2 linked regions of the Nothobranchius furzeri genome follow. The protein of the gene in region 1 purifies or fractionates together with the protein of each later gene. This does not show direct contact. Links are inferred from orthologs where the notes say so. Each region holds a gene or a part of one and is shown in the gene's direction. Other genes may lie near its edges. The genes, in order: wdr12 and bop1.

Region 1 (4,561 bases):
TTAATACAATTGTTTGTGGTTTCCGGAGCTCAATGCCTCAAAGAAAAATACTTCAGGGCAATACTTTTACTTAATTACACTCCATCACTGCTCTTTTCTACTATATATAAATAAATTCACAAGCGTTGGTTCCGCATTAGGTGTAATCGTCACTTTTTACTTTATAATGCCTTCAGCAAGAGAGGGCCAAGTGCCCCCCAGAACCACCCCTGTTTCAACTTGTGTAAGTATTATTTAAAATGACAAACCTGTAATCTAACACAAGTTTAAAGGCAGGCAAAACATTAAGCATCATATTGGGGCAGCAGAGCGGGTTTCCCAGCGATCGGAGGATTGTGGCATCGACCCCAGCTTCGCCGGGGTACTCTGCTGTTGTGTCCTTGGGCAGGACGCCTCACCCGACTTGCCTGTCTTGGTGGCAGGAGGGCAGATGGCACCACCCCAGGGCGGCAGCAGCTCACCATCACCAGAAATGTGAATTATGGAAAGCGCTTTATAAATCTAATCCATTACTTTTAAACTGACTTCATGCCTCACACTCACTCCACTCATTAAAGTAGTGTTGACCATGTTGACCCCTCCTGAGTTGTTCCAGGATGGAAGAATGATCCATGGAGTGCCACCAGAGCAGGGGCTTCCCAGTCTATCTTCAATAAATTCTAGAGTACCCAACTCTTCACAGAGCATCTCATATCCTGCACTTCCCTTCTCCAGCTCCAGTTTCCCCTGACCAGTGTTTTTACCTCTGTCGCCCTCCACAGTGACCACCTTGTGGCATTCACCTTTAATCTAAATTCATTAAATAAATCTGTTCTAATTATTTTTTTTAAGAGAAATTGCCTGATGTGACCAAATATGGTCCTACCTGTGGAATGGAAGTCTAACAGGTCATGTGCAGCAAATTTATGTTGCAAACATCAGTTTAGTTGGTTCTTAAGTAAAACTGAAGCTAGAACCTAAACTGGGTATTTAAATAACTTATTAATAGATACTGTACTAGAGAACTCCATAAGTAAATATCCGTGCTTAATAGATCTACGTATTTTACAGTAGCTATATCATATTTTTGTTAAATGAGGCTGAATATAAATTTCTTCTACAATAAGCAGCAAATTTTTTTAAAATAAAAATAAAGAGTAGAATCAAGGCTTATTCTTTAATCTAGAGTCTAAAAAACAATGACAGTTCACATAAATTTATAATAAACCGCGTAAATATACAAACTAACAAAAATGATCTAAAGGTTTTGCAGGTCGCGTTTTTTCATCGTGATTTCAATGGATTTCACACATGGGGCCTTTAAGAGGTTTGCAGACCTGTTTTTCCCAACTTAATAGAGCTTTGAGTTCGGTTTTCCAGAAATACTTTATGAAGGAATCATGCGTCATAGAAACGTAGAAAATACTGAATCTTTAGTTTATTGTGAACAAACAGCCAGGCAGTACTAGATGCGCACTGATCCAGAGAACCCGGCACCGACTGTATCTGTGTTTGACTTTTTTAGCCTTCCTCTACACCACATGGCCACAGTGTCCTGACTTGGATGTTGTTACAGATCTACAGATATTAGCTGATTTTCTTTACTTTTAATCTGCTCAGAAAACTCGCAGACAGTAGGAATGTCTCAGTTACAGGCGAGGTTTTTTACGGAGGACAAAAGGTGAGTTTAATTCTGGGGTAGTGCGGTAAAAGCGGACAGGCTAGCTAAATAGTTAGCATCTATTTTCTCTAAACGTGTGTTAAATTTGTATTCAGGGTTTAATTTTCTGAGTTTGAGCTTCTTATCAATGTGCGTAACGTTTTCAACTTCCTACTGGCCTCGTGAGCAACCGATTAGAGGGCTTTTAGTGTGTTTTAGCTCCTTTAATGTTAATAATATGAAGTTTGGGTTTAATCGTTGATAAAGGTCAACCTGTCTCCTGGTTGGGTTAACGTTTTGTTGGGCCTTGATTTGTTTGCAGGTTTGTTGTAGATGATGTCCCGTTCTCCATCCCAGCTGCCTCTGAAGTGCAGGACCTCAGTAACCTGATCAACAAGCTGCTGGAGACCAAACATGGTACACACCATAACACACACAATAAACATAGTACACACAGCCTCATACACACTATAGAAATGGCACACACCATAACACACTATAAACGTCGTGCACACACCCTAAAACACACTATAGAGAGGGTACACACACCATACCTTCTCAGTGGCCTAATGGTAGAATGTCTGCCCTGGGACTGGCAGATCAGTTTTCAAATCCTTGTTGGGCCACACTAAAGACAAACAAATGTGACCCAGTGCCTCCCTGCTTGATACTCAGCTTTAAAGGGTTGGATTGGAGGGTTAACGCACCAAATAGTTCCCGAGCACAACCACTGCTGCAGCTCGCCGCTCCCCACAGGGCTGGGTCACATGTGGAGATGTAATTTCACCGGTGTGTGATGATGACTGAGGGGACTATAATACATCTTTAACATGGTAGACACCATAACACACCACTAGCACGTTACCCCCTAATACACACCATAAACACAAGTAACATGTTGCTAAACTACATAAAATGTCGACTGTAAAAAAAAAAAAAACTACTCATAACAGCTTAGTTTGGAGTTTAAACTATTACACATAATATGATTTATAAACGGTTATCATTCTTGTTTTATTTTTTACTTCAGTTGTTTATTTATTTATTTATTTAGCAGAATCTCACAGCAAGGTGGAGTTTGACTTCCTGGTCAAAGGTCAGTTCCTGCGAACGCCACTGTCGTCTCACATGGAGGCAGAGGGTGTATCTACGGTACGACCTCATCACCTGCCACAGAGACCAAAGCTGTCAGTATGAGTCTGACATCTGAGCTTCATCTGCGTGTATGGTTGTGTGTTTTAGGAGGACGTGGTGGAGATTGAGTATGTGGAGCGGATCACAGCCCCTGAGCCTGAGGAGTGCATGATGCACGATGACTGGATCAGCTCAGTGGATGCAGACTCAGAATGGTAAGATGGAGACCAGACCTTCTGGTTTTCTGTAACTGTCCTGTGACTCGTCCCTGTGTCTCGTTCTACAGGATTCTAACGGGTTCCTATGATAAGACAGCCAGGATCTGGTCTGTGGAAGGGAAGCAGGTGATGACCGTAGCTGGACACTCAGATGTTGTTAAAGACATAGCCTGGGTCAAACGAGGTGAGCAGACTGGGACCTTGGATGTCCCTCTTTGTTATTATTAACTTTAATGTGGACTCTATGGATGTCCCAGATGGCCTGACGTCTCTGCTCCTGACGGCTTCTCTGGACCAGACTGTCCTGCTGTGGGAGTGGAACTCTGAGAGGAACAAAGTTAAAGCCCGCCACTGTTGTCGTGGACACACAGGAAGTGTCGACACAGTGTCCACAGACCCCTCTGGCTCTAAAGTAAAGCTTCAGGGAATAGAAAGTGTTCATAGATGAGTTTGGTTTGTGTCTGAGATTGTTTGTGTCCTTTTGCAGTTCTGCAGCGGCTCCTGGGACAAAATGTTGAAGATCTGGTCTGCAGGTGGGTGAGCGATGAGAACATTTAAGCTGGAAAACCTTACCTACAGCTATAAAATACATATCACCTGTGTACCAGAGACAATATCACACAGTGCAGGGAAAATGAGACATGGAATAAGTGAAATAATCGTAATAAATGTTGACAGGTATGATTCAGCAGCAAAATATTGAGACAATGTGCTGTACACACCTGCTCTGCCCGACCAGAAGGTTGATGAAGAAGTACTCTCCCTAGATGCTGAGAAGGTGTTTTCCCACTGTCACCTCTCCAGTTACAGTGGAGCCTTTGGCTGTTGCCACGAGGTTGAGCCCAGGTGTCAGGAGCATCTCACATCTGGGATCTACTGTTAAGTCTCTCTTTATACCGATGATAGGCTTTTATATTTCAAATCCTCTTTCTGGGATCTCCAAGCTGTTGGCTCTTCTTGGGACATTTGGTCAGATCTCAAGTTGTGAGGTTAACTCTTTTGGAGCAGCAGCTCTCTGGCCCCATTCCATTTAACATCGGCCCAGATAAATTTAACTATTTGGATTACGCATACATTTAAAGACCTTTTTGGGACTAGTTATGATCCTTTATTAGCTAATCTTGAGAAATATCCAGATGGGAATCTTTGTCCCTGTCCTGGGGAAGAAGGACAAACATAAAGTTCCTTTATCTGTTCCAATGTCTCCCAATTTTTCTTTTTAAATTCTTTTTTCCGGACTATGTGGCACAACAGATGTTTATAAATGATGTGTGAAACAGAGTTTAGGAGTAAAGCTGGAAACATCAGCTAGAGCTGTGTGATTAAAGTGACAGTGTGTACCTTCCCTGGCAATAGGGGGCAGTACATACCTAAATCTTTGCAAGCAAGCAGTATTTTTGTGTTGAAGTAGGACTTTACTAACGGATGCCGATTAGGTTCAAAAAGCCATGGGGAGTGCAATTTTGAGCAAAATAACAAGCACATCAGATTCCCTTCCATCACTGGCAACAAGTGAAGAGATAAATGTGTAAAAGAACAACATTTAAGAACGGCGAAAGCTTTGTAACCA
Region 2 (4,422 bases), on another chromosome or scaffold:
TTTTAGATGTAGATGAAATGATGGGAATTCCGGCTCTTTTTAGAGAGCCGGTTCTTTTGGCTCAGCTCACCAACAAGAGCCGGCTCTTTCGGCTCCCAAGTGGCTCCTCAGATTTTCTGTTGGTTGCGTAGAGTACATTTATAACCAAAATAATGCAAAACTTTATGTAAAATGATTTACTAATATAAATAAATGCAACATATCAAATATTCATCATTTCCATGGATTTAATAACTGAACACTTTAAGAAATCTCCACTTTCCGACTGCTGGCGCTCATTTTCTCACCGTCTCCATCGCACTCTCCTCTCTTGCTCTCCTTTTTCCTACTCCTCATTTCCTCTCGTCTCCCGCCACCCGCATGTGCTCTGCTGTGTGTCTGAGTCATCGACATGATCTGAGTCTGATCCTCCCTCTTCCCCGCCCCTACTGCTCTGTGTGTGTACAGTCTGGACACGCAGTTACACATGTTGACCAATCACCTGTAGCTTTCACCAAAGCAAGGGGGGAGGGGGGAGGGGACGGTTCCCAATGACGAGTCGGCTCCCGTCGTTCACTTCAAAGAGCCGGCTCTTAGAGCCGGTTTGTTTGCGACCGACACATCACTAAGATGAATGCCTTTGAAGAATGTATTCTATCTATTTGAAGTAAATGTCGAGCTCAAGGTGGCGCAACAAAACATTATTATTTACACATGATCATTCATATCTGTTTATATCCTCTGGTATTCTGTTTTTTTTTTTATCGTTCCTGGCGCGCTCCGCTCATCGTGTGCTGCGGTGATTTCACCTCACTGACGCAGCATCGAAACGCGCACTACGCTTTGCGGTCAGGAGATCCCTTTGATCTGCTTAGTTCAAAAGTAACTTGTGATGTGAAAAAGTAAGAATCCAGGCAGCAGTTTTTCTGGAGAATTTAGAGGAGATGAAGGACGATGAGAGACAGACAGGACAGGACAATAGTCACATAAAAACAAGAAAACAAAACAACGTGTTGAAAAGTCAAATGTAGGTAGATTTATCTACACTACATGTTTTTACCTGTATAAAACAATAAGTTATACACATGTAATATGTATACATCTGATACAATTCAGATCACCTTCAAAACTCAGTCACACACCCAGGGCCGTTTTAAGGCATTTCGGGGGCTAAGGCAAAACAGAACCCCACATTGAGAGAACTTTCTTCAGATGTGGGCTTAATATCCTGCCTTTAATTCAATGTTAAGAATTTAAATGGGTAGTTATCCTTTTCATTTCATATTTTTACACAGAATTTGCGTAATACACATTTTCACCCGGAGAGGGCGACACAGAGCTGCACGTTTCACCATCACGTGCAACAACATTTTACTCTGCCCCACCCCCTCTCTTTTTAAATTCAACCACATGGGGGCGCTAGCAACAAACGCGCATGTTTCCTCGCTCATAACCTGTGACCCCGAAAGTTTCCCACGTGGTTTTGTAGAGGAGAGTGACGAAAACGTGCAGCTAATCGACCTTAAAAAAGATGAAGAAAAAGGAGAAAACAGACAAAAAGCGGAGTCTTCAGGAAGAGGAGGAGGAACAACAGGTGAGGCGCACTGTCAGCGAGCACGAAGAAGAGGAGGACGAAGTGGACTGGTCAGCAGCTCCCTGTTAGCTGTTAGCAAGGCATCCTAGCAACACTTGGCAGAGCTTTGTAACCCCATGACAGTTTCTAGTTGTTATTATTTGAGGAAAAGAACTAGTCGATGCTCTGACAAACATTTGACAAATTATCCGTCAAAGAGTCATTACTAATACAGAGATGCTGTTTATTTTTATTTATTTTTTCAATTGCTACTTAATGAATGGAGAGTTGACAGCTAGTTTCAAGTAAAGATTGACCTGATGAGGGCTAAACCTTGATTTTTTATTTATTTATATATTTCCTGCTCCAGATTATTTAATTTATTTCGTATTTCTTGCTAACAGATCCAAAAACTAATACAGCAAATATATTTGAAGTTGTTTAAACTTTAGTACTGGGCAAACATCAACAGAAAATGATCCTACTGATCACATTGTAACGTGTTTTAGTGTAGAATTACCTACTCAGACAGTTCAATGTCAGACCTGAGAATCCTTTTTGTCCTAGATTTATTTAGATCACTGTAATAATTGTCAGCTCTGTGATGTTGTCCTTTTTGCTTTCTCCAACAGAATAACATATATAAATAGCAACAATTCCCGTTTTGTATATTTTATTGGTTTTTGGCTACAGACAAGAGTCTTGTGTGACATGTTTTACTCTACCTCAGCTCTTCAGCTTGAACGACAAACCGTTTAAGGAAGATGAGGATGATGATGATTTATCAGACAGCGTGGACAGCGTGTATTCAGGACTGGAGGATTCTGGGAGTGACTCTGAAGAAGAAGAGGATAAAGATGAGGAGGAGGGATCTGATGAGGATGATGATGAAAATGATTCTGCTGCCGATGATGATGATAAAAATGATGAATCAAATAAGAATGCAGAAGATCAGAGTCAGAAGGTAGGACCCACGAATCAGATGGCTTGCTGCTTGTTTTCCCTCTGATCAACATTTAGTCTCTCGTATTTTGGCCTCTGCAGAAAACAGTAAAAAAGAGCAAAAAGAAAGAAGAGACTGAAGAAAAGGACGTAAAGAAAGAAAATGAGTACGAGCATGACAGCTCAGATGAGGAGGTGGGACAAAATCATCTTTAAAACGTCTGTTTTTTGTGCAGTATTGTAAAAATAGTATTTCTCTACCGTTTAAAAGAAGTACTAACATACCAGTTGTGACTGTTCTGTAGGATATCAGGAACACTGTGGGGAACATTCCCATGGAGTGGTACAAAGACTTCCCTCACATTGGCTACGATCTGGATGGGAGGAAGATCTTTAAGCCAATCAGGAACAAGGATGAGCTTGACGAGTTCTTGGACAAAATGGAGAATCCTGAATATTGGTGACCAGGCTAACATAATGCATCATAATCCACACATTTAAACACCGCATGCTAACGTGAACATGAAAATGTCTACAGGAGAACTGTCCACGATAAGAAGACGGCGAGCGACATCGTGCTTTCAGACGAGCAGATAGAGCTGGTGAATCGTCTGCAGAAAGGACAGTTTGGCGACGTTCACTTCAACGAACATGAGGTGAAACTTGGTGTTTAAAGAGAAAGCCAGTAAATATATCAGCAGAATCAGTGAAACCAGGTTTTTTTTTTCTTCCCCAGCCTATGGTGGAATTCTTCAGTAACGAGGTCATGATTCATCCAGTCACAAACAGACCTGCAGACAAACGCAGCTTCATCCCTTCACTGATAGAGAAGGAGAAGGTAAAAGAATGTCTTCATCAGGTCCACCCACCTCCACCTGCCTGATGTTTAACTGTCTGTCACACCTGTCCACAGGTCTCTAAACTGGTGCACGCTATCAAAATGGGCTGGATCAAACCTCGGCGGGTGGAAGACGACAGTAAAGGTCGTTTCTATGACCTCTGGGCCAGCGAGGACTCTTCTATTCTAGCCAAACACAGGATGCACCTTCCTGCTCCTAAAATCCCTCTACCTGGTCACGAGGAGTCCTACAACCCCCCACCAGAGTACCTGTTCACGGACGAGGAGGTCTGTCAGCCGGCTGCTCTTCTTGTTGGTGCTTGATTGCTTCGGTCTAACCCGTCTCACTCTCCACAGAAAGCTCTATGGGAGCAGCAGGACCCATCAGACAGGAAGCTGCCATTTATTCCAAACAAGTACTCGAGTCTTCGTCAGGTTCCGGCATTTTCTCGGTTCATCCATGAGAGGTTTGAGCGCTGCCTCGACCTTTACCTGTGTCCCCGCCAGAGGAAGATGAGGGTAACGGCCCGTTAGGGGGGGGGGGGGGGGCTGATGATGTAACGCTATGACGGAACTGAATTTCTGTCTGCCTGCAGGTAAATGTGAATCCAGAAGATCTGATTCCTAAACTTCCCAAACCAAAGGACCTGCAGCCGTTTCCAACAACTCAGTCCCTGGTAGAATAAACACAGATGCATAAAAACTCTCCTAAAGGTCAGATGAAGTCAAACTTAGCCGTCTGTTGCCTCTGTACCTTTTATCTTCCTGTGCTCAGGTGTATCGAGGTCACAGCAGTCTGGTTCGCTCCATTAGTGTGTCTCCATCAGGACAGTGGCTCGCTTCAGGTGAAAACTCTCATCTCCTGTCTGTTGTCATTTAAATTTATCCCAGGAGAGAATATTTATCACAGCTGTTGATTCACAAATGAATGAAAATACAAATCTATCAAATGTTTTTGACGGCTCCCTTCCAGGACTTTTTCTTTTTATTTATGTTTATGTGACTAAATACTTAATATTTAAAAGATCACCATGGCCTCGTTAGTAAGAATTAACATCTGGGGTCTCCTGCAGATGTTCTCTCATCAGCT

Evidence for each region.
Region 2: the proteins of wdr12 (region 1) and bop1 purify together in Homo sapiens (affinity purification with western blotting; 6 studies listed by BioGRID and IntAct, with this or other methods). This does not show direct contact. The link is inferred for Nothobranchius furzeri from reciprocal best matches to the Homo sapiens genes WDR12 and BOP1.

Annotation. Positions count from the first base shown.
Region 1 is NC_091742.1:74,278,236-74,282,796, reverse strand, and holds the start of wdr12 (ribosome biogenesis protein wdr12), read left to right. Parts: upstream 1-1,493; 5' UTR 1,494-1,619; coding exon 1,620-1,660; intron 1,661-1,961; coding exon 1,962-2,056; intron 2,057-2,693; coding exon 2,694-2,791; intron 2,792-2,881; coding exon 2,882-2,988; intron 2,989-3,059; coding exon 3,060-3,175; intron 3,176-3,248; coding exon 3,249-3,403; intron 3,404-3,478; coding exon 3,479-3,524; intron 3,525-4,561.
Region 2 is NC_091759.1:9,339,528-9,343,949, forward strand, and holds the start of bop1 (ribosome biogenesis protein bop1), read left to right. Parts: upstream 1-1,406; 5' UTR 1,407-1,510; coding exon 1,511-1,573; intron 1,574-2,282; coding exon 2,283-2,516; intron 2,517-2,596; coding exon 2,597-2,689; intron 2,690-2,799; coding exon 2,800-2,954; intron 2,955-3,032; coding exon 3,033-3,150; intron 3,151-3,230; coding exon 3,231-3,332; intron 3,333-3,407; coding exon 3,408-3,620; intron 3,621-3,689; coding exon 3,690-3,851; intron 3,852-3,928; coding exon 3,929-4,009; intron 4,010-4,107; coding exon 4,108-4,177; intron 4,178-4,422. UniProt on the Homo sapiens protein: Component of the PeBoW complex, which is required for maturation of 28S and 5.8S ribosomal RNAs and formation of the 60S ribosome.